4 linked regions of the Oreochromis niloticus genome follow. The main gene of each other region encodes a partner of the protein of the gene in region 2 in a complex. Links are inferred from orthologs where the notes say so. Each region holds a gene or a part of one and is shown on either strand. Other genes may lie near its edges. The genes, in order: nup58, nup93, nup54 and nup35.

Evidence for each region.
Region 1: nup93 (region 2) and nup58 share a complex: the UniProt entries of both Homo sapiens proteins name them as parts of the p62 complex. The link is inferred for Oreochromis niloticus from reciprocal best matches to the Homo sapiens genes NUP93 and NUP58.
Region 3: nup93 (region 2) and nup54 share a complex: the UniProt entries of both Homo sapiens proteins name them as parts of the p62 complex. The link is inferred for Oreochromis niloticus from reciprocal best matches to the Homo sapiens genes NUP93 and NUP54.
Region 4: the proteins of nup93 (region 2) and nup35 are in contact, whole or in part, in a crystal structure (PDB 7MW1), measured with the Homo sapiens proteins. The link is inferred for Oreochromis niloticus from reciprocal best matches to the Homo sapiens genes NUP93 and NUP35. Residues at the interface, in NP_055484.3 of Homo sapiens: Tyr266, Tyr269, Asn402, Ala407, Asp408, Lys409, Thr410, Glu411, Tyr413, Tyr448, His452, Phe453, Val455, Asn456, Leu461; in NP_612142.2 of Homo sapiens: Ala88, Pro89, Pro90, Val91, Arg92, Ser93, Ile94, Tyr95.

What each region holds. Positions count from the first base shown.
Region 1 is NC_031974.2:22,932,750-22,940,594, reverse strand, and holds the start of nup58 (nucleoporin p58/p45), read right to left. Parts: upstream 3,014-7,845; 5' UTR 2,638-3,013; coding exon 2,558-2,637; intron 2,008-2,557; coding exon 1,847-2,007; intron 1,759-1,846; coding exon 1,726-1,758; intron 1,603-1,725; coding exon 1,324-1,602; intron 1,102-1,323; coding exon 933-1,101; intron 744-932; coding exon 678-743; intron 437-677; coding exon 262-436; intron 1-261. Other genes in the region: phosphatidylinositol-3,5-bisphosphate 3-phosphatase MTMR6, read left to right, coding at 5,139-5,162, 7,317-7,448. UniProt on the Homo sapiens protein: Component of the nuclear pore complex, a complex required for the trafficking across the nuclear membrane.
Region 2 is NC_031972.2:63,343,213-63,350,317, forward strand, and holds the start of nup93 (nuclear pore complex protein Nup93), read right to left. Parts: upstream 3,008-7,105; 5' UTR 2,840-3,007; intron 2,003-2,839; 5' UTR 1,999-2,002; coding exon 1,820-1,998; intron 658-1,819; coding exon 540-657; intron 1-539. UniProt on the Homo sapiens protein: Plays a role in the nuclear pore complex (NPC) assembly and/or maintenance. May anchor nucleoporins, but not NUP153 and TPR, to the NPC. During renal development, regulates podocyte migration and proliferation through SMAD4 signaling.
Region 3 is NC_031972.2:17,440,405-17,448,327, forward strand, and holds the start of nup54 (nucleoporin p54), read left to right. Parts: upstream 1-4,907; 5' UTR 4,908-5,024; coding exon 5,025-5,067; intron 5,068-5,454; coding exon 5,455-5,562; intron 5,563-7,016; coding exon 7,017-7,100; intron 7,101-7,250; coding exon 7,251-7,415; intron 7,416-7,793; coding exon 7,794-7,874; intron 7,875-7,923. UniProt on the Homo sapiens protein: Component of the nuclear pore complex, a complex required for the trafficking across the nuclear membrane.
Region 4 is NC_031987.2:30,648,344-30,655,697, reverse strand, and holds the start of nup35 (nucleoporin NUP35), read right to left. Parts: upstream 3,018-7,354; 5' UTR 2,726-3,017; coding exon 2,713-2,725; intron 2,106-2,712; coding exon 1,938-2,105; intron 1,842-1,937; coding exon 1,702-1,841; intron 1,020-1,701; coding exon 962-1,019; intron 1-961. Other genes in the region: dnajc10 (dnaJ homolog subfamily C member 10), read left to right, coding at 5,634-5,843, 5,961-6,123, 6,430-6,480. UniProt on the Homo sapiens protein: Functions as a component of the nuclear pore complex (NPC).

The sequences.
Region 1 (7,845 bases), on a different chromosome or scaffold from region 2:
CCTACCCACATATTAAGTTAAGTTCATCTGAAGTCCAATTTTATATAATTTTGTTTATCTTAGGTATATCTACAGATGCTTTTAGGAAATGAACACTGATATTGAACTTCCTGACTTATATATTTTGCAACACTGCATACACTATATACTGTGTATCCACTAGGGGTTTGTAATGCAAGTGTCTGATTGACTAACTTTTTAATGACAAAAAACGTGCATCAGAAATGGACACCTGTACCAACATAAGTACACTGTTTTTACCTGTGCCGTCTCCAATTTCAGTTTGTCGATGGCCAAAGCTTGGCGCTGCAGACCGCTGGCGCTGACAGACAGAAGCTGTTTGAGGCTCTTGATGTCATCTTGGACTTTAGAAATGGCCTTTGATGACATTCTGCTTATATCCTCCTGAACTTGTTTTTGCTCTTTCACAAATTTTCTGCAAAGGAATTGAGAAAAGAAGGAAATCACTTGTAGATGACATAAAAGCTCTCTGACAGATATGCCAAACTATCAAAATATGCTTTCAAAGTGCTACTACTCAAACTACATGTATGCATCTGGGATTTTACACAGAATGGGGGAAATCCTAGTGACCTCACCAGATAAAATTTGGGTTGGGTCATACTGCTGCATTCAACCTAATAAACACCTGATAAAAATCACACACCAATACTTACTGAAAATTTTCAACATCCTGACAAATAACTGGGGGCAGGTTCTCATCTTTTAGAGCTTTGCTGTCTCTGAGGGTGAGAAAAAATGTTTTTCATCATTAGAACAGAAAGGATAGTCGGTGCTAAACAATTAACAGCAGAGTGAGACACTCATTGTCTCTCAGTAATTTTTTCTCTTCTCTGCATAACAGTGTGGACTCTTTTGTTAGACAAATTCCATAAGACAGTAAAGGACCGCGTTGGGTCACTAGGACGTACTGCGCATTGGCTCCAGAAGATGTGTCGCTCTTATTCTCAGAGGAAGTGCTGAAGTCGACTCCACCCAGGCCAATACTCGGAGCAGGAGGTGCTGATGACGCTGTCGAGGTTGCCAGCAGAGAACCGAACGATAACCCGCCTCCTGCACCGAGAGTAGCCTGACCCAGACCTGCAGCAAGACATAATCATGCAGTTTACAGGACTGTGACAACTAATTAAAAAGAACACACTGTAATTCAAAGCAGTCACTGTACTCCCTTAATTATCGCAAACACTTTGCATATCTAACTCAAAAGAAGTCTGAAATCATCTATCCTAGTGATGGTATTCTGTTAATACTTGGCCATGTTTTAACACATAAGCTCTGTAAAGCTGACAGTTTGCCTCTCACCTGTGGGTCCAGTGCTGGAGAAGAGACTGCTGCCTAGTGATGGACCTGTTGAGGCTGCTGTGGTGGTGGTCGTAGTGCCGCCGAGACCGAGGGCAAAGCCAGTGGCTGTAGGCTGCTGTGGAGCTGTGGAGGTCAGGACAGAGCCAAACGTCAAGCCTGTCCCAGCAGCAGCTGTCGAAGAGGTGCTAGTAGCTGTGAGGGAGAACGGCGTAGCTGAGGCTGTGGGCTTGTTGAAAGCCAAGCTAAAGCCAGTGGTGGCAGCTGTACTGGCTGGGGCACCTGAGAGAAAGTAATTGTGTTTAAAAAACAAAACAAAAACAAAACAAAACATAGTTATTACCTGTTGTTCAGAAACACTTCAACTTCAACTTCAAAATACCCCAGAGAGAACCCCAAACATACCTAATGTGAGGCCTGTAGTGGGCGCAGCAGCACCTGAAATAACACAAGGTCCCAGCATAAGATGGGCAGCTGGCGGAAATATCACAAATAGTTTTATTTCTTTATTATTTTGCATTCTTACTTGAGGCAGGTGTATTGAAGGAGAATCCTCCAGCAGGTTTCTGAGCAAAAAGACTGCTTCCTAGGCCAAGAGATGGGGTGCTGGTGCTGGTACTGGGGGTTGCACTTGCTGTACCCAAAACTGTACCAAAAGAAAAGCCACCGGTATTGGCCGCAGGAGCACTTTCAAAGAAAAAAAGTAATAGGTTTAGGCCCATACATTCTTCTACAATATCTTCTACAAGTTTCAAATTAAGGAAAGATTGACACTGTGTTATGGTTACAGTACACACAGATTAACAACTAGGACTTTGTCAAAGAAAATACACAGGGTCTTAAATTTCTATATAGAAGACCTAAAAGGTGATAAGTGCTTTACAGATGGATGGTAATCCCAACCACATTATTACCAGTTATGAACTAATTTCCCTCTTTTTAAAAAAAGTAACTAAAACTACTAAAGCTTAATTGTTACTTCAAACACTTCTCCTGGTAGCCCGCAGTTTGCAAGAGTTCACTCTACAGTGCCTGCATGTGCAAAGTTTCAAATTATAACAGAGTTTACAAATTTATCTCATTAAAATGCTCATCTATAACCCGACATTGCTGAATAACTCGGGAAAACAACGTACACAGCACTGACTTTGAAACTCGCAAGCCGTATATGCTAACGCCAAGATACCTCTGGTTATGCTAGCGTTAGCTAAGTGGGCTATCTGAAATTTGTCGTTACCTGGTTGCGCCCCCAAATGTGAATCCTCCACCTGTGTTGGTGGACCCAAGAGCTCCCGAACCAAAGTTAAAGCTAGACATTTTCTTTTAAAAGGCACAGTGTCAACACCAATCGGTTATGTGGGCTTAGCTCACTTCTGAAAACATCACAGCTAACACGACAGTTAGCTTAGTCGCCCGCGTGAGGGCCGAGCCCGCGGTCCCGTCTTCACCAAAACATACTTGAACTCATCAGCTCTCTCACTAAATCCCAAAATATTCAGTTGCTACCCGCTATGTTTACACAACCTGTTCCTCCGCTTCTATTTCTTAAACCTGACAATTATCGCAGGGTGCATTCACGCATGGTGTCACTTTTCTTATTCCCCGCCTGGTATGTCCTATATGCTAGTGCATTTTGGGTAGTGGATTTTCTTTTTTCAACTACATTAACCGTCATCCCCGCAGATATAGCGTCTCGTGATGTGTCACGCATGCGCATGGGATCAAGTCTGGCAGTCCTTAGCAGCAAATGTATGTTGAATCCGGTGTTCCTTTCAAAATAAAAGAGGCAGCTACAGACTATAATTACAACGCGGTAGATGAATAGCTCAGAGTACATTAATGTATTTGCAAAATTGAGTATAACTGGTTGCACAATGCTGATTCAAAATTGTCATTGTCTCTGTGAGTTTAAATAATCTGTTACTTACCTGATAAATGAGCAACAGCTCCATCATACTGAACCCGGGGCGGACGAATGGTTCAAAAGTTTGTGTCAGAAATAGTTTTTGGTAACCTAATGAACCAAAAAATTATGAAAACAAATATGTTGCAAATATGTTATCTGAGCTTTTCAACATTTGTTGAATTGTTCCACGTTTTTTCTTTTGGCCCAGAAATGTTGCAGAACATCCAGGTCATCTTTTGCAAACTCTGGAAAATATATTTTATCAATATTAATATCAATTAATGTTTTAATTTCATATAAACATATTAATACATGTTTCAGCAGGGATTTATTCAGATCTTTTGACATTAGGTTTGGGTTCTTTTTTTTGTTTTGCTCTCAGTGTGATATTTGCTAGATGTAACCTGTGCACAGTCCTGAATTTCATCCCTTTGTAGAGGGTGCCAAGAGGAACTGTGGCACTGCATGAGGAAGTCAGCAGTGGCAGGGAAGTATGTGAGGCTGGTGCTGTACTTGTTTTAGGACAGCAATACAGTGGTGAGGTGTGTGGTAGGCAAGATGGAGCCTAGCGACATGGAGAGAAGATCTGGTCTGGAGAGAAGAGGAATGGAAGTCAGAAGAAACAAGACAGAATCTGTGAGAATTAGAGGGAGACATGTGGAATGATAAAGCTGCAAGGAACAGAGGAATGATAATGAAGTTGGATGAGTTTACCTGAGGTCACCCATCCGAAACAATGGACAGATTTAGAGATGAGATGGACTGAACATATACAGAGGAGCAATGCTGTATCTACTGGACGAAAGATGTTGACTATAGAGCTGACAGGGACGAGGAAAGAGAAAAACTTCAGAGGGGGTTTGTAGATATAGTGAAGGGGGGCATGCAGGAGAGATGGGGTGAGAGAGAGGAAGATGATCCGCTGTGGTGATCCATAAGGGGAGCAGCTGAAAGAAGAAGAAGTGGACAGTTTGTCTTTTTGTGGACTGACCCACATCTGTAGAAAGGTTGCAGCAGCCTATTCCAGAGTCATGCTGAATCCTTAGTCTGATACACCGTCAAAGTAGTTATTTAGATAGTCAAAGGATGAACCAATTTCTCTTGAGAAGAGCACACGTTGTAAGTATATTTGCTTTAGTTTGACAACATTTTATAAGTAATCATGCCAATAATTATTATAGGTTGTAATTTTTTTATTATCTTTTATTTTGATTTCATTTTAACTTTGCTTTTCATTCAGTTAGTTTCCCAAAGTAGGTTTGATGGTTTCAGTTCAGTTTTTGTTGTTTGGAAAATGTTTAGTTTTAATCTTTTGAAGTATTATTGTTTTTGGAAAATATATACTACAGGACGGATTTAGAAAAAAAATCAGTGTCAATATTATAACATAAGAAGAACTTTTTGAAAGCAGTTGACTCACAGTCATACAGACATACAGAATCTCAGTAAGCTTGTCCATCAATGGCTCATTCTATTATTTTTCTTAGTTTTCCGAGTTCATTTCAGTTCATTTTCTTTATATCAAAAATCTATTATTGTCTTTTAATTAACTAAAGCGTTTTTCACAAATAGTTTAAGTCTTTAGGTTATATTAATCACGATAACTTCAAATGGCTTACAAACTCTGCCCTACAACCGCAACCACCAAAAAAGTAAAGGAATTCAAAGTTGAAGTTGATCCGGCTTTTATTTTGAAAAACCCCACCTCAAGCGCCGACGTGCTTTGCGCGAGCTTTACGCGGATGGAGTGAAAATAATTGACAATAAACACATATCGTATGCCCCCGAAAAAGTGAAGGCGGCTTGTGCAGGAGTCGAAGCTGTCACATCACCAATGATACATTTCAATCCGGAGGGTTTCGTTTGAAGCTTTGCAGTCGCTGACAGCTGTTTCGACCCGGGGGGGGGAAAAATGGAGCATATCCGAACGCCAAAGGTAGCTAACGTTTCTTGCTAATTGCAAATGGATGGGATACAGTCGGCAGCTGGGCCTTGTCTGTTTGCGATTTTGTTGGAAGGCTCGAGTGAGGCTCCGTTTTCTGGCCATCAGTGTTCAGAGTGAATTTGTGTGAATCGACGTTATAGCGTGGCGGCTAGTAGGTGTCGCCAACGACTCCAAGTGTCAGCAGACGTGACGAGCATCAATGAGCCGTTTGTTTTTTCCCGTTCATCAGGCAGATCGGCTTCCTCTATCTAATTTTACTACTTGCACGCTCTGCTATTTGTTGCGACAGATATCCACTGTCAGTACAGCCATTGAATTCAGTGTGATTGAAGAAGCAAGGAGAAGCCGGACCATATCCAGCACAGACACGCAGGGCTGACTTGGACTGTACGTCAAATAGGGCCATCACAGTTTTATCATCGGCATAAAACGCCAGACAGTGAGCTCACTGCCCGGGCTAAATCACTCCAGATAGACCAGATTAAAAGGAAAGCAACCAGCTGAAAAAGGCGAGAGTCGAGGAGTGCTGCAGTACAAGTTTAGCCCTGCCAGGCCTGTACTGCTAGAAAATATACTGCTGTGTGTGTGCGCGCAAAAGAGCTGATCTCTTTAACCCTTAAATCATTGATCCTTTCAAATCTAATCTACAGCCATTCAAAAACAACCAACAACAGCCAACAGTCCTAGTACATATAACCTTTGTAATCTTCATAATTCTTTTTAGTCTGCCACATGGTGGCTGGGTGTGCTTAATGTTATCTAACGTCTGTGTTTTTGATCATGTTAGGAAGCAGTATGACACGATTCTTGAGGTTCAAGGACAATTGTGTTATTTGTCGGTGGGGAAAAAATAAAGAAATGCTGAGATCTGGTATGGAAACAGACGGGGAACACCCATGCAGAATGGGTGTTCCCCGTCTGTCTCCACACCTTTCAGTGGTTTGTCTGGTTTAAAAGTCGGAGGAGATTATTATTTGATGTTATAGTGTTGAAAACAAGCTGCTTGTTGTAACAATCTGGGTGGTTTAAGTTGCATAGGCACGTAACAGAATGAAACACAAATCCTAACATTAACTTCCCTATAAGATGGTATGAGGTGGTCTCTGTCCTCCCTCTCTCTTCCCTTTCTCTCTAACCTGCTCATTTATTCTCATGCAGACACACACACAAACACACACACACACTCAGCTGACTTCCTGTATGTTCCAAGAAGCTGACTTATGACAGAGCCGCGACCCGCAGGTTGCTGAGCGACCTAGAGAGGCTTGATCGTTTCATCATATCTCAGCAAACGGAAACAAAGTGGAGGATGTCTGAGTCAACCAGAAACAGCTAATGTGATGAATCATGGATTCGGACAGGTAGTGCTAACAGCACTGCACAGTCCAAAAATCAGTGACTTTCCAAATGCACTTTGGCTATAGAGTGAAGGTGGCAGGAGCTTTTATTTTGATATGTCTTGTCTCTGTGATGCAACAGTGCAGAGCAAAGTCCAATGGTGATATTGTTTGGGTTTGTTTTATATTGTTGTGACACCAGTCTCATAAAGATCTTTAGTAACGTTTTAAAAAGATTGTGCTGTATAAAACTGCTTTCATTCATTTATTTATTTTTTTCTAGGATGAAAACCAGAAGCACATTAAAGGTTTTTTTTAAAACCTGTTATAGCTATTAGACCTAAGCCTTCTTCCTGTGTGAAAACTCGTGACTTGAGTAAATATATAACTCACTATATCTGCTATATCTGCATTTATGTGGTATTAGTGTTAAAAGTTGCTACACTTTCACTGTTGCAGCAATTGAATATAAATTTTCAATAAGGAAGTAAAAACAAAATGAACTGTGTTTGACTTTAAGCTAGATAGGATTGTTTAATTAAGAGGCAGGTGGTTTATTTATTAAGGCAGTGGCAGCAAATGTCACTTGTGATTGCACTTATTAAAATTAAACTGGCAGCTGATAGTGAGGGCCAGGTGGCCAGGATTAATTGGTGTGCTAGCCGGAACTGGTGCCAGTAATTTTTCTGTCAGGTGTCAACCCTGCTCGCAAGATGCCGTCTCTTGTAGTCTCAGTGTATCCAGCAAGAGAAGCAAAGGGTGCTCCTGATTATTTAGATATTACCACTATGTACATCTGTTTTTGCAGGTGGAGCAGGTGCGGCTGTTGGATCGCTTCAGCAACAAATCCATTCACGGCACTCTGTACCTCACAGCCACGCATCTCATCTTTGTGGAGAGCAACTCTAACAACTCGGCCTCTGCTGGACAGGAGGTCTGGGTGAGTAGTTTTTGTGCCAACTATGCTGCCCATTAATGCAGGTTTCAGAGTGCTTGCATATGGATGTCACCTCAGCAAATGCACTGTTGTGCAGAGGCAGGAGGATAGCAAGTGCTCACAGAACTTTTACCTCCTGTTGCCAGTTTTCTATAAATTGATGGTGCAGTTTCATGCAAACCAAGTGTGCTCTTTAGACAATTTGGTCCTCTTTTTAGTCTACTAATAAATATTTATTACCCTGCAAAATGTTTTTATGTTTTTCACTCCTGCTACACCTCTGTGAAGGTTTGCTCTGTGTGTGTGGTTTAAAACCCCACCTTTCTAGGCTTTGTGTCTAGGGGTGTAATTCTTGCTGGGGTTCAAATCCCGGACAAGCCCCCAATTGTTACAACCTCTA
Region 2 (7,105 bases):
ACTTGAAACCAATAAGATTTTCCATGAATGTCATTTTTCTTGACTGTCCACAAAAACAGAGCCTGTGGGTCACACAGCAAACCCAATTTTCCACTGGAATAATTAACTCGTTGGCTTTGTGTACTTATTTCTGTTATCTCTTGAATCTTTGTTCTGTTCAGCCTCCAGTTATAAATTTCAACATTTTCAGCCTTTAACTAACAAACTTCACACTTGCTCAGTTTTTATCAGGCTTATCTTGTCAGTGGGGACAAATGCAGACTTATTATCTACAGTTAATTACTTTCAGACCTTAGCCACAAAACAAATTTAATCCTCACTTCTAAATGCAGTTTCTCTGTGAGAAAGTGAAATATGCACACGCTTATTAAAAGACTAGGTACTAGTTTCTTACCATCTATCAATGGATTATTTCTTATTTCACTCCACAAAATACCTCTCAGTGCTCTCAGTAGTAAGCGAGTCTTCCTCTAGTGAACCAGTTCATTTAGGTTAAATAATACTGCATTAGCAGCTAGCTAGCAGCTAGTTTATGATACCTGTATGTCCGTGTCTTTGACCGGCTCCAGGGGCTCAAACGTGGTGGCAGCGCTGAGACTTTCTAGCCTCTGAGAAATGTGGAAGATGTCTAAACCTCTGGAACCAAGGAGGATGGACCTGAGGTGAAACAGAAAGGTGATGAAGGAGTGACTGATAAATAACTGTAGTTGCTCCACACGACCACTAGAGGACGCCGAACGCTTTACCACCGTTACAGAAACGATCTTTACACTGTACGCACTGATATGAACTATTACACAGCAGATCATGTATGTCATCACATACATCACAGAGAGAATTTCAATCTAATATCAATGCAGTTTTAAAATAAATAGACTAAATCCTTTAAATATCACTCAAGCTTATTGATTAAGGAATATATTCTTTAAATCTTTAAAACCAAACATGTAGTTTATAAATGAGTGCGTCTATCATAGAGGTTAATGGGAAACAAATGAAAAATGATTTTATACATTTTATTTACATGAGAATTTTGCAGTAAGATATACTACATCACACCTTTCAGATACACATGAGTCTGTTATTATGAATCCTATTATTATTATTAGGACTCTTACTACTATACATAAAAAGGAACTCTTCCCAGGCTCTTGGGGCTCTTTTTTCATGTTGATCTTTAAAAATGCCTTGTGTGACTGTTTACTATACAACTTTATACACATAGTTAACCATTCATTTGTTTTTTGCCCCCCAGTTGCTTGTGTATGCATTGGCACATGTATGTATATGTGGGAGTTTATATGGAATGGATGGAGATATAAACAAACAAACACGAGGATCGCTATTACAGTTATCGTAGATGACATTCTTATTATTATTTAATATTACTATTGCTATTTGCACTCCTCGTCCTTATATGACATGACCACGATCAGTATGTGGTTAATCACACTCCCAGTACCCTCACCCCCAATCTATACTTTTTATTTGAACTTGTCCTGTTTGTCTATGCTCTATGTTTCATGTCCTGTGACACTGGTAACTTATTATCTGTTATCAATTACCATTTTTGCCAGTAGCAGTAATATTATGATTAACAGTGGGACATTTTCTGCCTATCTGCACATGCTGAAGTTCTTATTTCATACTGTTCTTGGTTGTATCTTGTTATTTTATAGTTCAGCTTTATTTTGTTGTTTGCTGGTTTTACTCTGTGACTACTAAGTGTTTTTGTTTCCACTCTTACTGCACTGTGCAATAATAGAAACCACAAGAATTTCCCTCAGGAAAAATAATACAGTTCTCTTATATTTCTTACGCTTTTACGTCTGCAGCATCTTGGGAGGTGCGGGTCAGTGTGCGAGATCGAAGCCTCTCCCCCGCCTGCTGGATCTCCTGAAGGTTCCTTTCCACATGAGGAAGTTCAGACACTGCTTCGGTCTCAGCAGCCAGCTGCTCTGCCTGCTGCAAGAGCTCCCCAAATCCCTCTGTATCCATGCTGCTATAGAGAAACAAATGAAGATATTTACATGTAACATCATCAGAGGTGAGATGAATAGTGTACAGTGGTTTGGGGAGCTATAATTTTAGGGTGCTCACATCCTTTTTGGAAAAAAATGTATAATTGGCCTGGATAATTTTACATAAATATGCTGCTGTTATTTTAGATTCCTAATCAACATTGTACCTCACTGACTAAGGTTTTGTATGTATTTTTTGTTGTTCATTTTCAATTCTTAGAAGAAGGGACTGGGTTAAAATGTACTGCAATTCCTCAACTGCGTGGACGGAGATTTACACAAATTCAGAAGTAAACGTAAAGTGAGCACGTAAACGTCTAAGACGTAATATAGCTGAGAACTGCCACAACAACAACAACAACAACAACACGTTTAGGACTAGGGCTAGTCGATAACATACAAACTGTGAATAACATAAACACCCATGTACATAACGACATACAGCTGTGTGAGCTTTCGGAAAGTTGACAGCTGGAGCGCGCGCATGGAGCGCTGTGGTGTTAGCTTAGCTGCTATAAACTCGCTTTAGGAATAGCAACAAAAATGCAGTTTCAAATGAAATTTAATTCCGGCTGCTGTGAAGTGGCGTGATGTGAATCACGATAAAAACACGTTTGAATTCATTTTATTTTATTGCAGTGCTGCCCTTTTGGCTAAGCTTCGTTAGCATGCTAACATGTAGCTACAAGTCAGAATGAATTACACTGTGCAGCGTTAGCTAGCATGCTAAGCTGCTATTATTCTTACATATTCTTAGTGTTGCGTTAACTCAAAAAGTTCATTTTGCTAACGCGGCTGGAAGCAACCACACTTCATACCTGTTGTGTGAGGTGGGAGAAAATACGGTCCTGTTTATACTCCACGAGTGAATGTATTGACAGTTATTTTCTGTTACTCCGTTTCTTCAGCATGCAAGTACATTATTTGCCCCGACCGGCACTTCTGGAGTCGATCGTGATTGGACAGTCCTGCGTCCCTCCCGGAAGTTCTTCTTCTTCTCCAGTTTCAATAACGAACAAACTAATATTAACGAAGCATATCGTCACCTACTGTCATAATTGGGGTTTTTTAGGGCCCGAGCACTAAAGGTGCGAAGGCACTATTGTATCTGCTCTGTGTATTATCATTGTTATTATTATTAGGGCCCGAGCACTTCGAGTGCGAAGGCCCTATTGTATCTGCTCTGTTTCTTCTTCTTCTTCTTCTTCTTATTATTATTAGGGCCCGAGCACCGAGAGTGCGAAGGCCCTATTGTATCTGCTCCGTTTCTTATTATTATTATTATTATTATTATTATTCAGGCAAAACAAGGGCCTTTTTGAGGGCTTTAACATGCTCGAAAACTCTTGAAATTTTGCACACATGCCAGGTCTGGTGAAAAATTTTGTATTTTAATGGTTTTACATAGGAGCACTGGGAAATGGCTCTAGAGCGCCACCTATGCGCTGTTAAATGCAGCCTTACGACCACATCGTTTGGGCTACATCTATGAAATGTGGCACACATGTGTATCATGCCGAGACAAACAAAAAAGTCTGTGACTACATGTGACGCAAACCCAACAGGAAGTCCGCAATTTAGAAGTGAAGGTGACATTTTGGCTCTAATTTTGCCATTTCCATGCCTCGAACTTTTGCGAACTCCTCATTGGAATTTCATCGTACAAGCTTCATATTTGGTCAGTGTCAACTACACACCTGGGCCATGTTAAATTGCGGAGCTTTTGAGTTTTCGGGATACGGTGACGCCGTGGCGCCACGGCGAATTTCGATGACTCGCCATGAAAATCTTATTGCCTCTCGTTCTGTCATACATTGTCCGACCTTGACCAAAGTGGACACATATGATAAGGCTCCAACCCTGAACATATTTCAACTGCCATATTTGACATCAGGTACAGCGCCACCTAGTGGGAACAGGAAATGTCATGTTTTACACTTTGGGGTACAGTATTGTAATGGGTGACATCTGCAGCCTCAAATTTCTCCAGGAAAGCCTTAAGGAGTTGGTCTTGGGTTCCAGAGAAAACTGTGAGTTTTCGCTGAAGGGTGTGACCCCAGCAGCATGGCGAACATTGAGGTCTCGCCATGAAGAAACAAATTAGTGTAACTCAATGAAATCCAATCTGATCAGTACCAGATTTTACAGGGATGATGTCAGACCCGCCCTGAACAGATTGATATGCCCATTGTCAGGAATACGTAGAGCGCCACCTAGTGGCACCAGGAAATGTCATGTCTTTCATTTTGTTGTACTGATTTTCACAGGTTCATCGTGGCCACCTCAAAAGCGGTGAGTATCACCATCAGTCCTTCATGATGCTTCTGTGCGAAAATTGTGACTTTAAACTGAACGGCGCACCCTGGTGGCAACGCGGTTCACCATGAAAGACGAAGTGGCTTTTGAGGGGCTTGGAAATTTTAAAAAGTCTTGGAATTTGGCCCAAACCTCCAATGTGATGAGGGCTTTGTTGTTATGTGATCAGTTTCCTTGAATAATGCAAAATGGCTCCACAGCGCCCCCTACAAAATTTCAAAACATCAGCCCCTGCTCTGTGTTTTATTTATAAGTCTGAAACCTGGTAAGCTTATGGAGGATATCAAGATGTACAAACAAGTCTCTTGGAGCAATATCCCAAATCCAACAGGAAGTCAGCCATTTTAAAATTAAGGTGTAATTTTAGCCACTTTTTCGCCTCTTTTCAGGCCTCATACTTTGACGAACTCCTCCAAGGGATTTCATCAGATTAACCCGATCTCCTGTGTGTGGAATCTAAAGACCTTTGTGATGTTAAATTGCGAAGGTTTTTACGTTCAGGGAAACGGGGTGGCCATGGCGGCACTTGGAGTTTCAATCCCTTGCCAAAAAGCAGTAATCTGCTGTCACTCAAAAACACAATGTCCAATCTCTCCCAAAGTTCGCAGGCGTGATGAGACTCAAGGTCGGAAATGTTTGTTATCCCATTTGTCAGTAATGGTTAGAGCGCCACCTAGTGGGACGACTATAATAATGATTGAATGAGATGAATCGTTAGCTGGTGGTTCTAGGCATGAATTCCATCAATGTGACATCAGATCGGACGTGCTGGTTGTAGGTGTTGGGCGTGGCCCGACGTGCCGGGGTGCGAGGGCCCTCATAACGCTGCTTGCAGCTTTAATTATTATTATTTCGGCAAATGAATCGGCCTTTTGAGGGCCTAAACATGCTCAAAAACTCATGAAATTTTGCACACTCGTCAGGTCTGGTGAAAATTTACGTATTTTAATGTCTGTAGACATGTCCAGGGAAAATTGGCTCAGTAGCGCCACCTAGAAAAATGAGAAACGCGAGCCCCCGAGATGGGTATGACCTACATGTATAAAACTCGGAACACATATCTAACGTTCGGAGACGCACAAAAAAGTCTATTATGGCCATGTCCTAAACCCAACAGGAAGTCCGCCATTTGGAAGTGAAGGTGACATTTTGGCTCTAATTTTGCCATTTCCATGCCTCGAACTTTTGCGAACTCCTCATTGGAATTTCATCATACAAGCTTCATATTTGGTCAGTGTCAACTACACACCTGGGCCATGTTAAATTGCGGAGCTTTTGAGTTTTCGGGTTACTGTGAGGCCGTGGCGCCACGGCGAATTTCGATGACTCGCCATGAAAATCTTATTGCCTCTCGTTCTGTCATACATTGTCCGACCTTGACCAAAGTGGACACATATGATAAGGCTCCACCCCTGAACATATTTCAACTGCCATATTTGACATCAGGGACAGCGCCACCTAGTGGGAACAGGAAATGTCATGTTTTACACTTTGGGGTACAGTATTGTAATGGGTGACATCTGCAGCCTCAAATTTCTCCAGGAAAGCCTTAAGGAGTTGGTCTTGGGTTACAGAGAAAACTGTGAGTTTTCGCTGAAGGGTGTGACCCCAGCAGCATGGCGAACATTGAGGTCTCGCCATGAAGAAACAAATTAGTGTAACTCAATGAAATCCAATCTGATCAGTACCAGATTTTACAGGGATGATGTCAGACCCGCCCTGAACAGATTGATATGCCCATTGTCAGGAATACGTAGAGCGCCACCTAGTGGCACCAGGAAATGTCATGTCTTTCATTTTGTTGTACTGGTTTTCACAGGTTCATCGTGGCCACCTCAAAAGCGGTGAATATCACCATCAGTCCCTCTTATGCTTCAGTGAGAAAATTGTGACTATAAACTGAACGGCGCACCCTGGTGGCAATGCAGTTCACCATGAAAGATGAAGTGGCTTTTGAGGGGCTTGAAAAGTTTAAAAAGTCTTGAAATTTGGCGCACACCTCTAATGTGATGAGGGATTTCTTTTATATGTTCATTTCCTTGAACAGCGCAAAATGGCTCCACAGCGCCCCTACAAAATTTCAAAACAACAGCCCCTGCTCTGTGTTTTATGTATGAGTTTGAAACCTGGCAAGCTTATTGGAGATATCAAGATGTACAAAAAAGTCTCTTGGAGCAATATCCCAAATCCAACAGGAAGTCAGCCATTTTAAATTAATGTGTAAATTTGGCGACATTTTCCCCTCTTTTCAGGCCTCATACTTTGACGAACTCCTCCAAGGGATTTCATTAGATTACGCGATCTCCTGTGTGTGGAATCTAAAGACCTTTGTGATGTTAAATTGCGAAGCTTTTTACGTTCAGGGAAACGGGGTGGTCATGGCGGCACGTGGAGTTTCAATCCTCGCCAAAAAGCAGTAACCTGCTGTCGCTCAAAAACACAATGTCCAATCTCTCCAAAGGTCGCAGGCGTGATGAGACTCGAGCTCGGAAATGTTTGTTATGCCATTTGTCAGTAATGGTTAGAGCGCCACCTAGTGGGACGACTATAATAATGGTTGAATGAGATGAAATTTAGCTGGTGGTTAAATGCATGAATTCCATCAATGTGACATCAGATCGGAAGCGCTGGTTTTAGGTGTTGGGCTTGGCTCGACGCGCCGGGGTGCGAGGGCCCTCATATCGCTGCTTGCAGCTTTAATTATTAGGCCGACAAAGTGCGAAGCCCTATGTATCTGCTGTTTATTATTATTAGGCCGAGCACAAGTG
Region 3 (7,923 bases), about 46 Mb from region 2:
AAAGGAAGGTGAGGTCCTCTGTCCTCTTCCTTTGTGTAGGGCTCTGGTCAAAGAAGTCAAAAACAAAACCAAAACATTTTTTAAACAGTGTTTATAAAGCATGTAGACAGCTCCAAATTCACAGCTTTTTGATACATAATTCCATCAATATATGATTATCATTGGAGATTTTGAATCAGGCTTATCAGGACATTCAAGTAGAATATGATATCCAACCTACCACCAATATACACAGATTCTGTAAAAGTTACCACACTAAATGTCCAGTTGTGAAATATGATGACAGACTTTACTTATCAGCTTTCTTTCAATGAGTTCATCAGTTGAACTGGATAACCTAAAACTTAAACAAAGGAGAACATTTCGCAGTTGAACACTTACATCATCATTGAAGCATTTTATGAGCCTAGTCAGCCCTCCTATGCCGCTCTTGATTTTCTACAGCTCCACGAACCTCTCCATAATGGTCAAGCACAGCAAAAAGGAACCCTTTCAGGTCAACAGATGTAAGACGGGCAAATTCTGCTTCAACCTGAGCAATAGAAGAAGAGGGGTGGAGAGTACAGGCAGAATAAAAAAAAGATTCTTTGAGACCCAAATTTAAGCAAACAGTCATCTGAGGCCCATTAGAGAAAACACAAACACACAAAAGCAAACAAACAAAAAGATGCACTTTACCTGCCGTTCAGCAAACAAGGAAGTTCACAGAACAATAAGCTCTGTCTTGAAATCTTTTAAAGTAGAATGATTGTGAAAATGACTTATGTGATGTAAAACTTTAGTAAATGTGCGATTAAAAGAACACTGAGTAAAAGGACAAGTAACAATTTCCTTATTCCTCAGATGTTTACCTTGATGAGCAATACTGTTTTAGTCCAACTGCCTCATTAAAGTTACACAACAGGCTTTTTACATTAAAGCCAGCAAGTCCATTACATACTCCCTTTTTAGATCTGAAATACTGTGCAGATTCTGTGTATATGTAGTGGACAGCAATTTACCCAAAAGAGTGCAAAGTTTGCAAGTCCACCTCATTTAAATGACAAAGACAGATGTGATCATCTAGACCTGTGAAAATAAATTAATGACAAACTTGCAGTTATGGATGTTATTACAACCACAAGAACCTAAACAGTCTGCTCCATTGCTTTTGTTAATGAATCATTTGTTGGTAACAGGTCTGAATATTTAGTTTATGCCACCTGCATGTGATCATCAATAGTGCCATATTACTTCTTAAGAAGTACCCTGACACTACAATCTTTATATCATTTGTTCTACAGAGCTATTAAGTTACAATATAATCTGTGGTGTTTCCAGTATGACAAAATGCACAAATTGTAACTTACCATTTGACTCCACTGACAAAAATAAATCCCCAGCATCAAGTTTGGCTTCACAGACCTAAAATAAGTAAAATAAAAATATATGTTATAATTATATTGTTTTCGCCATTTATTCATGTTTGCTAATTTTCTGACATATAAACAATATTAGTTTTGTTACAATACAGAGAATGCAGTTTAATTAAAAGGTAAATTATGCAAAAAAACAAAAACAAAAAACTTCTGCAGTATACCATGCCAAAAATCAGTGTCTCTGATGCCAATTATTTTATCACTACAGCTCTTTTAGTATGGAAACTCACACAATCTAGTCATACTGATCACAAGAGTTCAAAAATAAGTTAAAATAGTGAGCTGTTGTTAAGCATAAAGCATTTCAGGGTAACAAATAACTGCACAATAGAATTAAAGCAAAAAATAAACACACTGGAGGACTATCTGATAAAAACTAATATAATGCTGGTTTGTAGACCATATTTTGTCTCAATCCTCAGTGCACTCTTGCAGCTTAGCATGCAGCAGTTAATAACAACTTAAGTGATTACATAGGGGTAAACAGATGACAACAAGCATCGGAGTCCTGCCAAAAAGTTCTTTTTGAACCCAGTCAGTTATTGGAAATATTGCCAAAATGAACTTCCACCAAAATACAACAGCCTGTGAACTTGAAAGAAATTTACAAGTACAGAGACAATATGAAATAAGCTTTATTAATTAGCTGAGTTAGCTTGCTAATATCGCAACAGTGGTTGAGTGCACAACCTTAAAGCTAGCGGCACAATACTTGTGATTTGGTCAGTGCCACATTAAACCCATAAAAAAGGCCATGTGTCAGTTTATTAGGTCAAGTTTGGTCATGACACACAAGCTGGACCTTGTCGGCTAAAGTTACATTAGCTAAAGCAAACATTTCGGTAAAAGAGAAAAACACACATCATGCCATAAATTCAAAACATGTTCCAACTTTTGTAGCTCTCTTTCCTTATAGTTATAACCAATGTTACTCACCTTGAAAGCATATTCCAAAGAAGACGATTAGAAAACGTCCAAGTAAAGTGAGCATGTCGTTAACCGCCAATTCCCCATGATGCACCTCGGTAGGAGTCACGTGAGGCAGTTTTGAATCCTGCTGTGCTCAACTTACCCACATTGTCAAGTTCACATAAGTTTCTGATTTAGCTGGACATGAGTTTTCAAGTTAGCTTTTTTTGGTGTAATTGGGACGTTTTTAACTTGTAATTCTATGTTATAACAACAACTTCAGTCATCTATCGTCAAACTGATATAGAATAATATGTTGAAATAACAAACATCTAGAATTACATTTTACAGTGCAGTGGCGGTCCTAGCCTGTCTGGTGCCCTGGGCGAACACTCCCTCTGTGTAAATGTGTAAAAAATGTTACATAATGTTTGGAGTTTAGTCTGTTACTGTTACTATTTTTACCATTTTTTTTTTTTACCATTTTTACCATTTCTTCTTGGAGCAACTGTAACCCACATAATTTCCTTAGGGATTAATAGAGTATTCTGATTCTGATTGTTTCAGGATACATGACCTGCCATTATCCAATGACACATCTGCTTACCTGTATCTTTTGCTCGTTTCTCCTCCTCTTCTTTTCTCTTTTTTCTAAACTGAGCACCTGATGGCTTTGAACTTTTCTAGTCCATCTTCCATTGGTTTTCATTTTGCACTCCAGTATGAACACCCATCCTTCAACCCGAGGATCACCACAACATAACCTAATAGACCTACACCTTAGTTCACAGATTCACTTTGTCTGGGGTTTATTTCTGGGGTTTCACACAACCCAGGATTCAGATCATGAATACATAATGGTTTTTGGATTTACAACATTATGAATGAAATGTGCTCTATTTGGAAGCAGCAGGGCTCTCCTCCCCTTTCGACGGGTTGTGTGTGAGACTTTAAATCATCAAATTGTAAATTATAAATTTTAAATTGTTATTGATCCCTGTTATTGATTTATTTTCTTACTATATTGTTTGTTTACTTGCACTGCAGTAACTGGAGCCTCGTCGTCTCGTCTCTCTATATACTGGACTGTATGTAGCGGAGATGACAATAAAGTTTACTTTGACTTCAGCAGCAAGCAGGCGCACCGAGGGCTCTCGCGCTCACTTTTCGCGTATAGAATTTCGAAAAAACATCGGTGCAAATTATAAGTCTGTATCATTATGTCTGATGTTTTCGTGTTTGTTGGTTTGTTTTTATTTTGTTTTATTTTGCGGGTTGGTTATTAGATGCTGCTCCAGCCAGCCAGAGAATCCCCCGCCGCCCCGCCCTCTCCTCCCTGTGCCGCAAGCAGCAGGCGCACCTCGCAAACGGATGGCGGCCTTACTCCCAGCAAATGGGCGATAGAAAACCGATCGGTGCCTACGACATTCCCAAAATGCGCTGGCATCATGTCGGGGCAGCGTGAGTACGAGCAATTTTTTTTTTTTTTTTTTTTTGCCCGTGATGCCGCCCCGGGCAACCGCCCGTGTCGCCCGTATCAAAAACCGCTACTGATCTACTGGGATTTTCCCACACAAGTATTTCTAGGGTCTAAAAACTATCCAGTGAGCTGTAAAGGTCAGAGGAGAATGGCCAGACAACTTTGAGGAGAAGATTATCTCTGAACGCATAACACATCAAACCTTAATGCAGATCTGCGACAGCAGCAGAAGGCCACAGCGATGCCACCCCTGTCAGCTAAGACGGGGAAACTGAGGCTACAATTCACACAGGCTCACCAAAATTGAAAATAGAAGGTTGGAAAATGTTTTCCAGTCTCAGTTTCTGCTGCAACATTTGAATGGTGCTGTTGTAAACATCCTGACTTGTATCAGCTGGGCAGGTTGTTGGTGGTGCTGGTGTAATGTTATCTTCTTGGCACATTTTGGCGCCTCTTAATACCAACTGAGCATTGTTTAAATATGACGGGCTGCCTGAGTATTGCTGCTGACCATGTCCATCCCTTCTAACAGTGTACCCATTTTCTGGTTCCAGCAGAACAATGCATCATTTCACAAATCTCAAATGGTTTCAAGCTAATTTTTTGAACATAAAGAGTTTATTGTACTCAAATGGCCTCTACAGTCTCCAGATCTCAATAAATAGAGATGCAATGTGCTAATTTCCATCATGCATGTGTAGAAAATAAATCTGCAGGGTGCCCAAAAATTGATTCCCAGGATTTAAACAGTTGTAAATGACATGCTGGCTTAAAATCTTCCAGAAGGAAGATTCCCATTGCAATGTAAAAAGCTAAAATAAAAAAAAAAACGATATAATTATATAACATATATTTTATAATGTTGGTACAGTATTGCAGAGTAATAATCATACTTGCAAAGCAGGTCATTTCTTTATTTATATATAAAACCCCTTCATACCCCCTCTTGATTGCAATCTATTTACCAATATAATCAAATATAATGCACATAGAAGACACACGGAAACATCTCACTTATTGACACAACACCGGTCCTGTTCCTTGCCACAAATATTTTTCATAAAAGTACTCTATTTGTTTCGGCGGCTGTTGAATTAACATTTTGGGACAGCAGGTGGCGGTAGTGTGCCACCCAGTTGGACCAGAGTCAGACGAAGAAGCAGCAGCAGCAGAAGACGAAGAAGAAGAAGAAGGTGTCTGTGGTGACAGCACTCAACATGGCGTTCAATTTTGGCGGTGCCACGAGCAACCCAGCAGCAAGTATGGATATTTTTTAGTTAATTGGGAAATACTTGTAAGAGCTGGTAATGTGTTACATATTTCATGTCGAAGCTAAAGCTGTGTTAATGCTTGTACATGAGTTATAAATAGAAATGGCAATGCTAATGGTTCACCCTCAGTTGTTACGGTGGGTTCGTCTACCGGCTAACGACAGACCTCACGTGAAAACGGAGAGCTTTTACACTTGAGTCAGTGCAACTAATGAACTGTAGTCGGATTTGTGTTCGCGTGTTTCGGTGCTAATCTGGGCTCCAATGAGACCGAGCTCTTGTGGCTAACTGTTTTGGATGCCCGTGTGTAAGCTAAAACAAGCTAAACTCACCCAGTACTTACAGCGCTCTCTCGTTGTTTGTTTGTTTCTAAAAGGCACGTCCGGGTTTTCATTCGGTTCATTTGGAGCCAAAACTACGCCATCGACAACATTTGGCTTCGGGACCCCAGCCACTACCACCACAGCCTCATCCGGATTCGGTAGTAAGTCCACAGCTCAGACCCAGATTCCTCCTTGCGGGGATTATCCTGTGCGTGGGGCATTATCATCACGTAACCGCCACCAATATGAACATAGAATGGGTTTTTTCCCAAACCCTTCTCCTCAAAGCATAACTGAGCCCACTGGGTTCCCTCAGTCTAGGGCTCAAAGGTTCTGGGTTGTTTTGTTTGTTTTAAATTGGGCATTTCTTCACCTCTCGATGCATTTTGAACATATCTACCAGTTGGTTTCTTGGGTTTCCTTTTTAAAGCTTTAACACTGGCAAACTAAGCACTCACTATATGGTGCACCTCACAGATACAGGCAGCTGCTAATCAGTCCTAAATAACAAACTAATTAAATACTCAAATGTCACTCATAAACCCAAACTGCTTGGATGGATGGTATCACACAGCAAGCCATATTATTTGCCAAAAAATTCATTTTAAAATGCTCAAAAGGGCACCAACGCTATAAACATTGTCAGGGGGTCCAGTTCATGATGAGCTTGATGAAGACCACCACCTGAAAGGCATTGGTGGTAAAGCAAGCATTCCTGGAGCTTCTCCAAGAGGTCTGGTTATTTGGATTAGCAACCAAATGTGCATTTTCTCACTGTTTAGCAAGTGGTTGTTGGCTGTTGTTGCTGTGAAATTGGTCTCAAAGAAGAATGCAGTGGTGCATTGAAAAGCCTCCTTGTGATTGCTAACAGATAAGTGGTCGCATATAGTTTGCATGGAAGATACACCAACTGCTCTCCATGCACTAGTAAAACTGCGAAAAGTGTGACACAAACTGTAAACTGGGAGTGTTCACCTTCAGAGTAAAAGTTGTATGTTTTGAAACGTATTGGTTGAAATGCTGAGGCATATGTCATTTGAGGGCAACAGAACTGCGTTTCTGGTTTGTCGCACTTTTTCCAAGTTTCACTACTACTCGACAAGTAGTTAGGTGTTTGCAGACAAGTCATCATCTTCCATAAGATGCTTTTGATGCAGCATTTTCGTTGCAACCGATTTCACTCAGTGACAGCCAGCAGTCTTCAGCAACCAATCGCCAACCAGGGAATGTGTTTTTTTTTTCCCTTGCAACCAGTGGTTGCCACGTAGTTGCCAGCTAGCCTCAAAGCCTGTGTGATCTTGTCTAAATAGGGCCTTACTAGTATTCAACACAGACAGTTACATACAGTCCAAAACTACTAGGCTGTTAATGTGGTTTTCATAGCTGAAGTTGAGCATTTTATCATGGGAGTCTGGGGATTCACTCACATCTGGGAACTGGAATTGTGGGCACTTTAGTAAACGGTCCCTTTTTAAAAAAAAAATTCCTTCAGCGGTTGCTACATAGAAGTTAAAGACCCTCTTCTGCTGGCTGTTAATGTTTCGTTTTACTAACTAATGCAAAATAAAGCCATGCATATATAATGTATTATTTCTGTGTGCTTTGCCTTCATTAGCTCTAACAGCCCCTGGTTTTGGGGCAGCCACCACCACCACTGCTGCACCAGCCACAGGCTTTAGCTTTGGCTCCACCAACACTGGTAAGATGCTCATTGTTCAGACGCGTAGCTTTTCTTTTAAGACACTTGAAGACTGTTTTTACAATAAATGAGTCCGTGCTGAATCTGGCATTGTGTCATTTAATTCCATGTCATTCTCTCTTTCTCGCTGCCTGCCTGCTTTGGCTGCAGGATTTGGGGGGCTGGGAGCTGGAAACACCACGGCTGGTGGGTTTAGTTTTGGGGGGTTCGGTTTAAATGCAAACCCGGCAGCAGTCAGCTTTAATGTGGGGTGCTTTGGTACAGCAACCACCACTGGCACAATTTTCAATTTTGGTAATAGCCTGGCTAGCACAGGTAGATGACCTTTGTGAATCAGTACACTCTGTCTGTAAACTTACATTTCCATCCATTGTTTGATATCTGTGTGGATCAAGGATCGTTTTATCTTCACCTGGTGATTCATTTCATGAACACAATACATCGCTGTGATTGCATGAAGAGACAAAATGTTGAATTTTTTTACTCATTTCATTTGATTGCTGTGAAGAGTCAGTACACTTTCACCTTTGTGTAGAGGTAAATCGCTATATTGTAGTGAAATTCTCATTCTCCTCTTATTAATGGTAGCAGTTGTGAATTCATTCTGTCATTCTCTCACCTGTTTTGTTTGTTGGTTTGCTTTTGGGGGGTTTTGTCGCCTCGTTGAGCACATTTCTTTTCTCTTCTTCTTAGGCACATTCGGTGGCTTCGGAACAACAACGACAACTGCTGCTGCACCAGGGGCAACATTTAGCTTTGCTCCCCCTGCAACGGGTTAGTTATAGAGCTGGTTTGAACCCCCACTCTGCCTTATTACAGTTAA
Region 4 (7,354 bases), on a different chromosome or scaffold from region 2:
TAGGACGGAAACCTCCTTTTAAACTAGAAGAGAGAAGGGAAAAATACTAAATGTGGCTGTCTAGTGATTTACAACCATGTTCTAGTTATATTCCCACATACAAGTTGCAAAGTGTCTGTTTTGCAGTTTTATCATCCAGCAGCCACGTCACTATTTGTCTTGTCTATTAACACAGAAAAAATGATCACAGACAGACTTCATCCGTTTTGCCATCTTGATGCAACAAAGTTGCTTTGAAGACAGCAACTGACTGCGAGACGTCCCAGCCCTGCCACCCATCTTTGAAGCAACCAGCCTAAAGAAAACATGGCCTCATATTTGTTGCACACTGTCGCAATAATTATGGTTGTGCCACAATCTCATACCACCATTTTCCCTTAGTGTCACTGTGATCAAACTGCAATCTAAATCTAGGCTAGTCAAAAAGTAAGAAAAGAGTAACATTTTCTAATTAGTGCTACGACCAACACTCTGTTTCCCTTTATAAAACAGAATATGCTTTTTCTGACCACTAACTTTCTAGATAAAAGTACCACCAGGAATTCCACTTCTCCCATTTACAACATCCACTAAGGGCATAAGCGTGAGGAGTGAGAGGATTTTGGGCAGCTGTGGATATAGATCTGTCACTCCATAACTAAGCAGTGAACCAGTGCTACAGATGACAGTAATAATTAGTATAACCAACCTCATAGTTCTGGTCCCATCAAAGTTTGATTGTTGACTTAGCCGGCTAATCCCTCACTTCACTAGCTACAATGACTTCTGTCACCAGCTGCTCTTTTTATTTATTTACATTTTTTTTTTTTAAAGTACTCTCAGGAAGCCATTGTTTTTAAATGTTTCTACAACAAAAATATCCTTGATGACTTCTAGCCATTGCAGCACATAACACAAACATTACTGTTAGAAGTTGTTGTAAAGTCACTATGAACAGAGTAGTAGCAGTGTCAGTGTGTACCTGTTCCTGGAGTAGAGGCCTGACGTGCTGACAGAGGAGACTGCATGACTGGGAACGACTGTAGAGAGAGTTAATCAGACAGAGGAACATAATTTTAAAAAGCCTTTTTCACATGTCATCATGAATTTTGATTAAACACAAGCACTAGCCAGTCATCTGGCCTGTAATGAGCCTTGTCACACTGGGTTTTTTTGGTTTGCATCATTGCCTACTATATGTTTACTTTCATCGTGCACATGATCACCTGCTCAGGAACCAATTGTGTGCCATTCAACCACCTGTATCTATTCCTGAACATCTGTGAACATATGAAAATCATATTGAGCATGCATGATGATGTACAGAAATTAAGTCCCCATGAAATGCTATAAGGCCTCCATGAATCACTACCTTATTGAGGGTAGAGGCATTCCTGTTCGTGAAAGATCCCAGGAGCTATGCTGTCCTGTCCCAAACTAGTCCTGGGTTTGGTTCTTTACTAAATGTGATTCAAAAGACTGCTCTGTGAAGAAGTATGGCCTAGGTGAGCTCACTGGACACAAGGTGACTGTGTCTGACCTGGGGTCGGGGTTCATTGGGGAGCGTCTGATGGCCGAGCCTTCACCCATTTGCATTTCTTAATTCAGTCTCCCTCTCCAAAAACCCTCCTGCTGTTGTCTCAGTTACAAAACCAGGAGGTGGCAGTTTTCATGTGAAAATAGACGGTTTAACAATTCACTTTACCGTGCATGCTTACTCACCTGTCTGTGTGCAGCAAGAGGTGTCGCTACAGTAACCAGGTCGTCATGGATACTGCGAACAGGCGGGGCTCCACTCTTGTCTTTGGGTGTGGGGACAACAGGCTGCATGGCAGAACCTCCACCACCACCTCCTCCTCCTCCTCCATTTAAAATAAGTTAAGTATGAATATCAGTCACTAATGAATCTAAAATATAAGCTTTAGACAACAATCAGGTGTGTCTCTTCTTCCACTCACCTCGATGTGTGCTTGTGCTATCTGCAAGTGGTGAGGCCAAGCTAAAAGGGCGAGGCTGTGGGCTAGCTGGAGCTGGCAGGTCACCCATCAGGAAACCGGGCAGAAACTGAGCTCCAGAGGTTGGCTTAGGAGAGGTAGGAGAGCCCAGGGTCATCGGCTCTGAGCCCACTGAGAGACAGGGATAATTTCATGACAGACGGTCCAAAACAGCCATTAATAGAAATAAAGCTTTAGCGCTTAGATGCTAGTATATTATTAAGAAGCTTCTGATAGCATGTCTATCTCTGACACTCTGACAAGCGGGAAGAAATGCCCCAAATCTAGGTGTTTATTATCAATGTTAAATCTGGAGATGAACGCAAATTGGTGTATATATATTTGAATAATGCTTTGTGTAGAGGAATCTTAGTTACTGAAAAAAGAACGTTCTCATGGTGTGAACTTCATTGTGACCTGTGAGCATTTTTTTTTTAACTTATTCTCTCGTCTTAGGACATCCGCAGTTTATAAAAATGCTAACTAATGATTAAAGTATTCATCAATATATATATATATATATATATATAAATTATACTAAAATACAGCCACTTGTGGTCGACACATGGGCTTTTTTTAATGCTTTACCTTCTACAGCGCCAGAAGCAAGAACATAAGCACCGCTGCTCCAACATAGAGTTGACAGATGACATGCTTGCCTAATAAACCCATAAATGCCGAATATATAATATCATCAAACTGAACGCAACGGGTTAAGATTTCAAAAAGTTTCCCTTACCTTGTAACTCCATCTCTGTTTCTTTCCTTTCTGGCCGCGATTTTCAAAAGTAGGAAGTGACGCTCGGAAAAAGGGATGGCAGCCGGCTAACGCGGCTAGCAAAGCTAAATGATGTGTCACAATAACTCACTGTTACTGCACCGTAAACGCGACTAGGAGTCAGTGCTGTGTTTAAGGATCTAAACTGTTACAGCTGACCGGTTTAAAATCTGCTCTTTCAGTCCAACACGGGGTGTTTCCGGAGCTCAGAGGTGCTGGGAGAAAAGGCTGATGCTAAACTGGAAGTACTACAGCTTACTTCCGGCGAATTTAGAAAGCGTCAATGTGATGACGCGTTCAATTGCCCTGCGTAACATCGTTCATTTGTATTTTTCTAATGAATGAAATGAACGTACAAACAGCGAGGAAGCGGTACAGAAAAATATCTGAGGGCTTTTATTTTCTTACAGTTAATTTTTCCATCAACACGCATACAAGGGATTTGTTTTAATGATGATTTGTTTATTTTGGGCTTAACCGAAAACATTTAAAGGAATCAATAAAATCTATATACTATAGACTATAATTTAACATACTACACTTTTTTGCTTCATGCTGTAAATGCTCCAGTTGTGATTGGTCTGCTGATGTTTCACATTCTGGGTAAAATCTGACCCAGTCACATTAAAGGAGGGAAAACCTGGCAAGCAAGCTCTGAGGAAAAAGGGTGTTTCTGTGCATAGTCACAGGACAAAACTCTCTTGACCACTACAGACTTTATTTCCGTGATTCAAACTGCTATTGGACGGGGAATCAGTGTTGAATGATAACTTCAGAAACAAACAAACAAAGATGATCCATTGTGGCCAGTTCTTAAGGGAACAGCTTTAAAAAAAAGATTTTTGTAGCATTATTAACCCCTTGGTTTGGCCAAACGAGGATTTTCAATGAAAGCACTATAGCCTAAGTACCTGATAAGTCTAACGTAAATGAACTTTTTAAAAGCTTCAAATAAACATCAGCATTTTAGCATCACATTAATAACCTCTTCGGAACCTGTACTGACTGATGGAGTAATTGCATCCACGAGAAATTCATGAAAAGAAAAGCACTAGTAGGAAGAACAAACAAAACATTACTTACAGGGCGTTTACATACACACAGGGAATGCTAGAAAACAAATATGTTGTGAAATATTAGAAGGTACACGCCGGCTGGATTGCTAATTAATTACCCAAAATTCAAGAATAACTAAAATGCATTGATCTAATAACTAAATCAACGTTTTTTAATTGAAATTATATTTCCCCCATTTGATTACTTTATTTTAATTATTTTAAGAATATTTATCTCATAATTATTTTCCGGACACTGAAATTCCGTGGAAAAGTTTTGGAAGCATTGGGATCGCACATCCGCCGACGAACGAACACACCATTTGCGTGAACGTCATCAATATGTGGCTGGTACTGTTAAATATTTGTCAAGTTACTACAGACAACCAAGATGTATCCGGTGGCTAGAGCTTCTGTTATTAAAATACAATTACAACTCTAGCTGGTGGGTGGAACAGCAGCCATCATTAACAGAGTACCACAATGAAATTAGATTAGCGAGCGGCTTTCTGAACATACATACAGTTTTATGTTGTCTGTGTGAGACTCAGAGTGTACCGTTTAGCTGCAAGACCTTTATTGTGAAGCACAATAAACGGAAGCAGCTTGTGTGCAACTTGATGCCGGGTCCGAGCCGGACGCTGATGCGGATCTTCATTTCCAGACTTTTGGAAGTTGGGACTCTTTAAAGGTAACAAAGCCGACGCATTAAAAAATTAATATTGAAATGTCTGCTACATATTACACGAATATTGGCTTTTGCTTCACCAACACGACAGCAAACAGCTCCGTGTCGCAGTGAAGCTAACGAGCTAGTTAGCTGAGCAAGTTGTAACGGGAATAGTTGTTGTTGTCTGGCTGTTAGCTTAGCTTAGCTTGTTTCAGGGGTCCTAATGAAGAGCTAGAAAACCTAACAGAAATGTTTTGTTTTCCTTTTTCCTCTGTGCACACCCAGCAGTGGTAATAACCACAGGCGTGTTAACAGTGCATGTACTTTGATGTGTCACCTTTTTGGCATCTTCTACTGTATCAAGAAAAAGATTTTTCACTAGGCTTGTTTTTCAGAATCTTCTGAAATTTTTATTAAAATATCTGAGTGGTACTATTACTATTTATTTCTTCCTTAATCTTGTAAACAGTTCCCAAATCTACATGGATGCTCTGTTTCTGCTCAAGAATAGAGAAATAAAGGCGTTTACTTTGAAAGCTACCTTTTATTAAATGTAATTACCATTTAATTAAAAGGCAGCTTCGTGGAAGCAGATGCAGCTTTCATTTAAATTTGTGTTTTTTGTTTGTGTAAGATGTAAAACTAAATATGTTGTAATATGTTCCTTTTTCTCAAGGAAAACTGTTGTACTGTAAAAGTAGGCGATCCCCCTGGAGTGACCCTGAAAACAGGGAAGAAATCTGCAGATATCAAAGCAACTGTTTGAATAGTTCAAGGTGCAGGAAACTGCAATGCAAAAGACAATGGTGTGAAAAAATGCTGCTCTTTCTTTTAGCTGCAGACCACTTGTCCTTCTAAAGCCTGAGGCTATATAAAAGTAGAGATAATGCTTCCATCCTTTAAGCCAATCCAAACAGGCCACATATGTAAACGACACTCCTAAGGTGACACGCTGGCTCTCCTGTGGTGACTGTATTTGTTTTTTTCTTGCTGTGGAAAGAAGCTGTTTGCCTCACTTACTGTGATACTAGTGAGGCAGGGGGATGGTAATGGCTACAGGGTTGGGTGGACAGGGTATTTAGAGCTGATCTTTGTGTCTTTCTGCCCCAGTTCCTTTAGTTGCAGCTGCTCGTTGACTCATTGAAGGAGCATTCCCCATGGCGCACAGGGTTGCCCTCAGGGCCCAGCGCCCTCGGTCCGTCTGGCTTACGGTGCTGCCGATGCTCCTCACCGTCCTTTTGGTGGCAGTTTGGGCAGAGGGCCAGGACTACTATGAATTGCTGGGAGTCAGCAGGGAAGCGACGACCAAAGAGATACGACGGGCCTTTAAGCAGCTGGCGCTCACCATGCACCCTGACAAAAACCCTGTGAGTTACATGGACAAACCACAATCCAGAAACACAAAAAAATGACACCGTAATTCTTTGAAATTTGTCGCGTCTCTATGAAACCCTGACAAAACAGGTGCTTATCGACTATTTCAGGGTGACGCCTCAGCCCACGAGAAGTTCCTGCAGGTCAATCGTGCCTATGAAGTTCTGAAGGATGAAGACCTGAGAAAGAAATATGATAAATATGGAGAAAAAGGGCTGGACGAGCAGCAGGGAGGACGCTATGAGAGCTGGAACTACTACAGATATGACTTTGGTAAGTAACCAATGAGATTTGCCATTTGACCTTAGAACTGAAGAAGCTTCTCGGATGAGAGGTGAAACGTCTTCAAGCAACTTAAAGAAGTCCAGACGCTTTTCTTTGCAAACTCCTTTGACTACGATGACCTGGATGACTGAGAACCTTCACAGACATACAACCAATGAGATGTTTCAACACTTTAATGTTTTTACAATGGTTTGTATAGAAATCGTTTTATGAGGATATTGTAAAAAGAAAAGAATAGCTAGCTCTGCTGTGAACAAAGAGTTGTTCAGTATTTAAGTTTGTCTTTCTGTCCAGGTATATATGACGATGATTTGGAGATCATCACGCTGGACAGTGGAGACTTTGGTAAGATATAAAACATATTCTGTTTTTGCTTTAGTGTACAAATGAGAAAAACCTTCATTCTTTTTAGTTTGTTTGATGTTTTCCTGTCAGAAAATGCCAACACGTAAGAACTATCTAAATTTAAAGATTTCTCAAATTTATTTTGATTGGCTTTTGAAATCTTTTTGAGGAGAAATAATGGGAGTTGTCTTTATGTCTCAGTCATTAGTACAATCTCTTCTTTATTTTCACACCTCCTGACTACTGTTTTATTTTCAGTTTTTGTCACTCGGTTGGAGTCAGTCATATTGAGTTCCATGCAGATGTTGTTCTTGTTTAATAACAGACATCATATATTGCATAAGGAACTTCAGAGGTGTCAAACACATTTTAGTTCATTGGTCATACAGATCCTGAGCTAATCTTAGTTGTGCTGGAACAGAAAAACAGTGCAATGGCCCCAAATAACCAATCAACTCACCAAACAAACAAACATCTCCAGTTTGTTTGTTCTTGTATAAAAACATTTTAGCCCATTCTCAAATGTTCACATTTAGTAATCCACAATGAGCAGTCTGAGAGGACTGAAGAAAAATCATTTTGTCTGAAAGACAAATTACAGTACAAAGTCCAAAATCTAATCTGAAGTTCTCGCCCCTCAGTCTTATGTTTGACATCCCAGATGCACATTTATACACTTGTAATTACTATGTGCGGTTCCACACATTGTAATTGTAATAGTCCTACATACACATTGTAATTGTGTGTGGAACATCAGGTTCTATTCTTTCATAATGGATGTGTTTGGCTTTTCTTCTGATTTCAAACTCTCTGCTCATGAGTGAAGAGGCCTGAAGAAGCTCTTGGTTGTTTGTCTTGAGTGCTGGATTGGTTC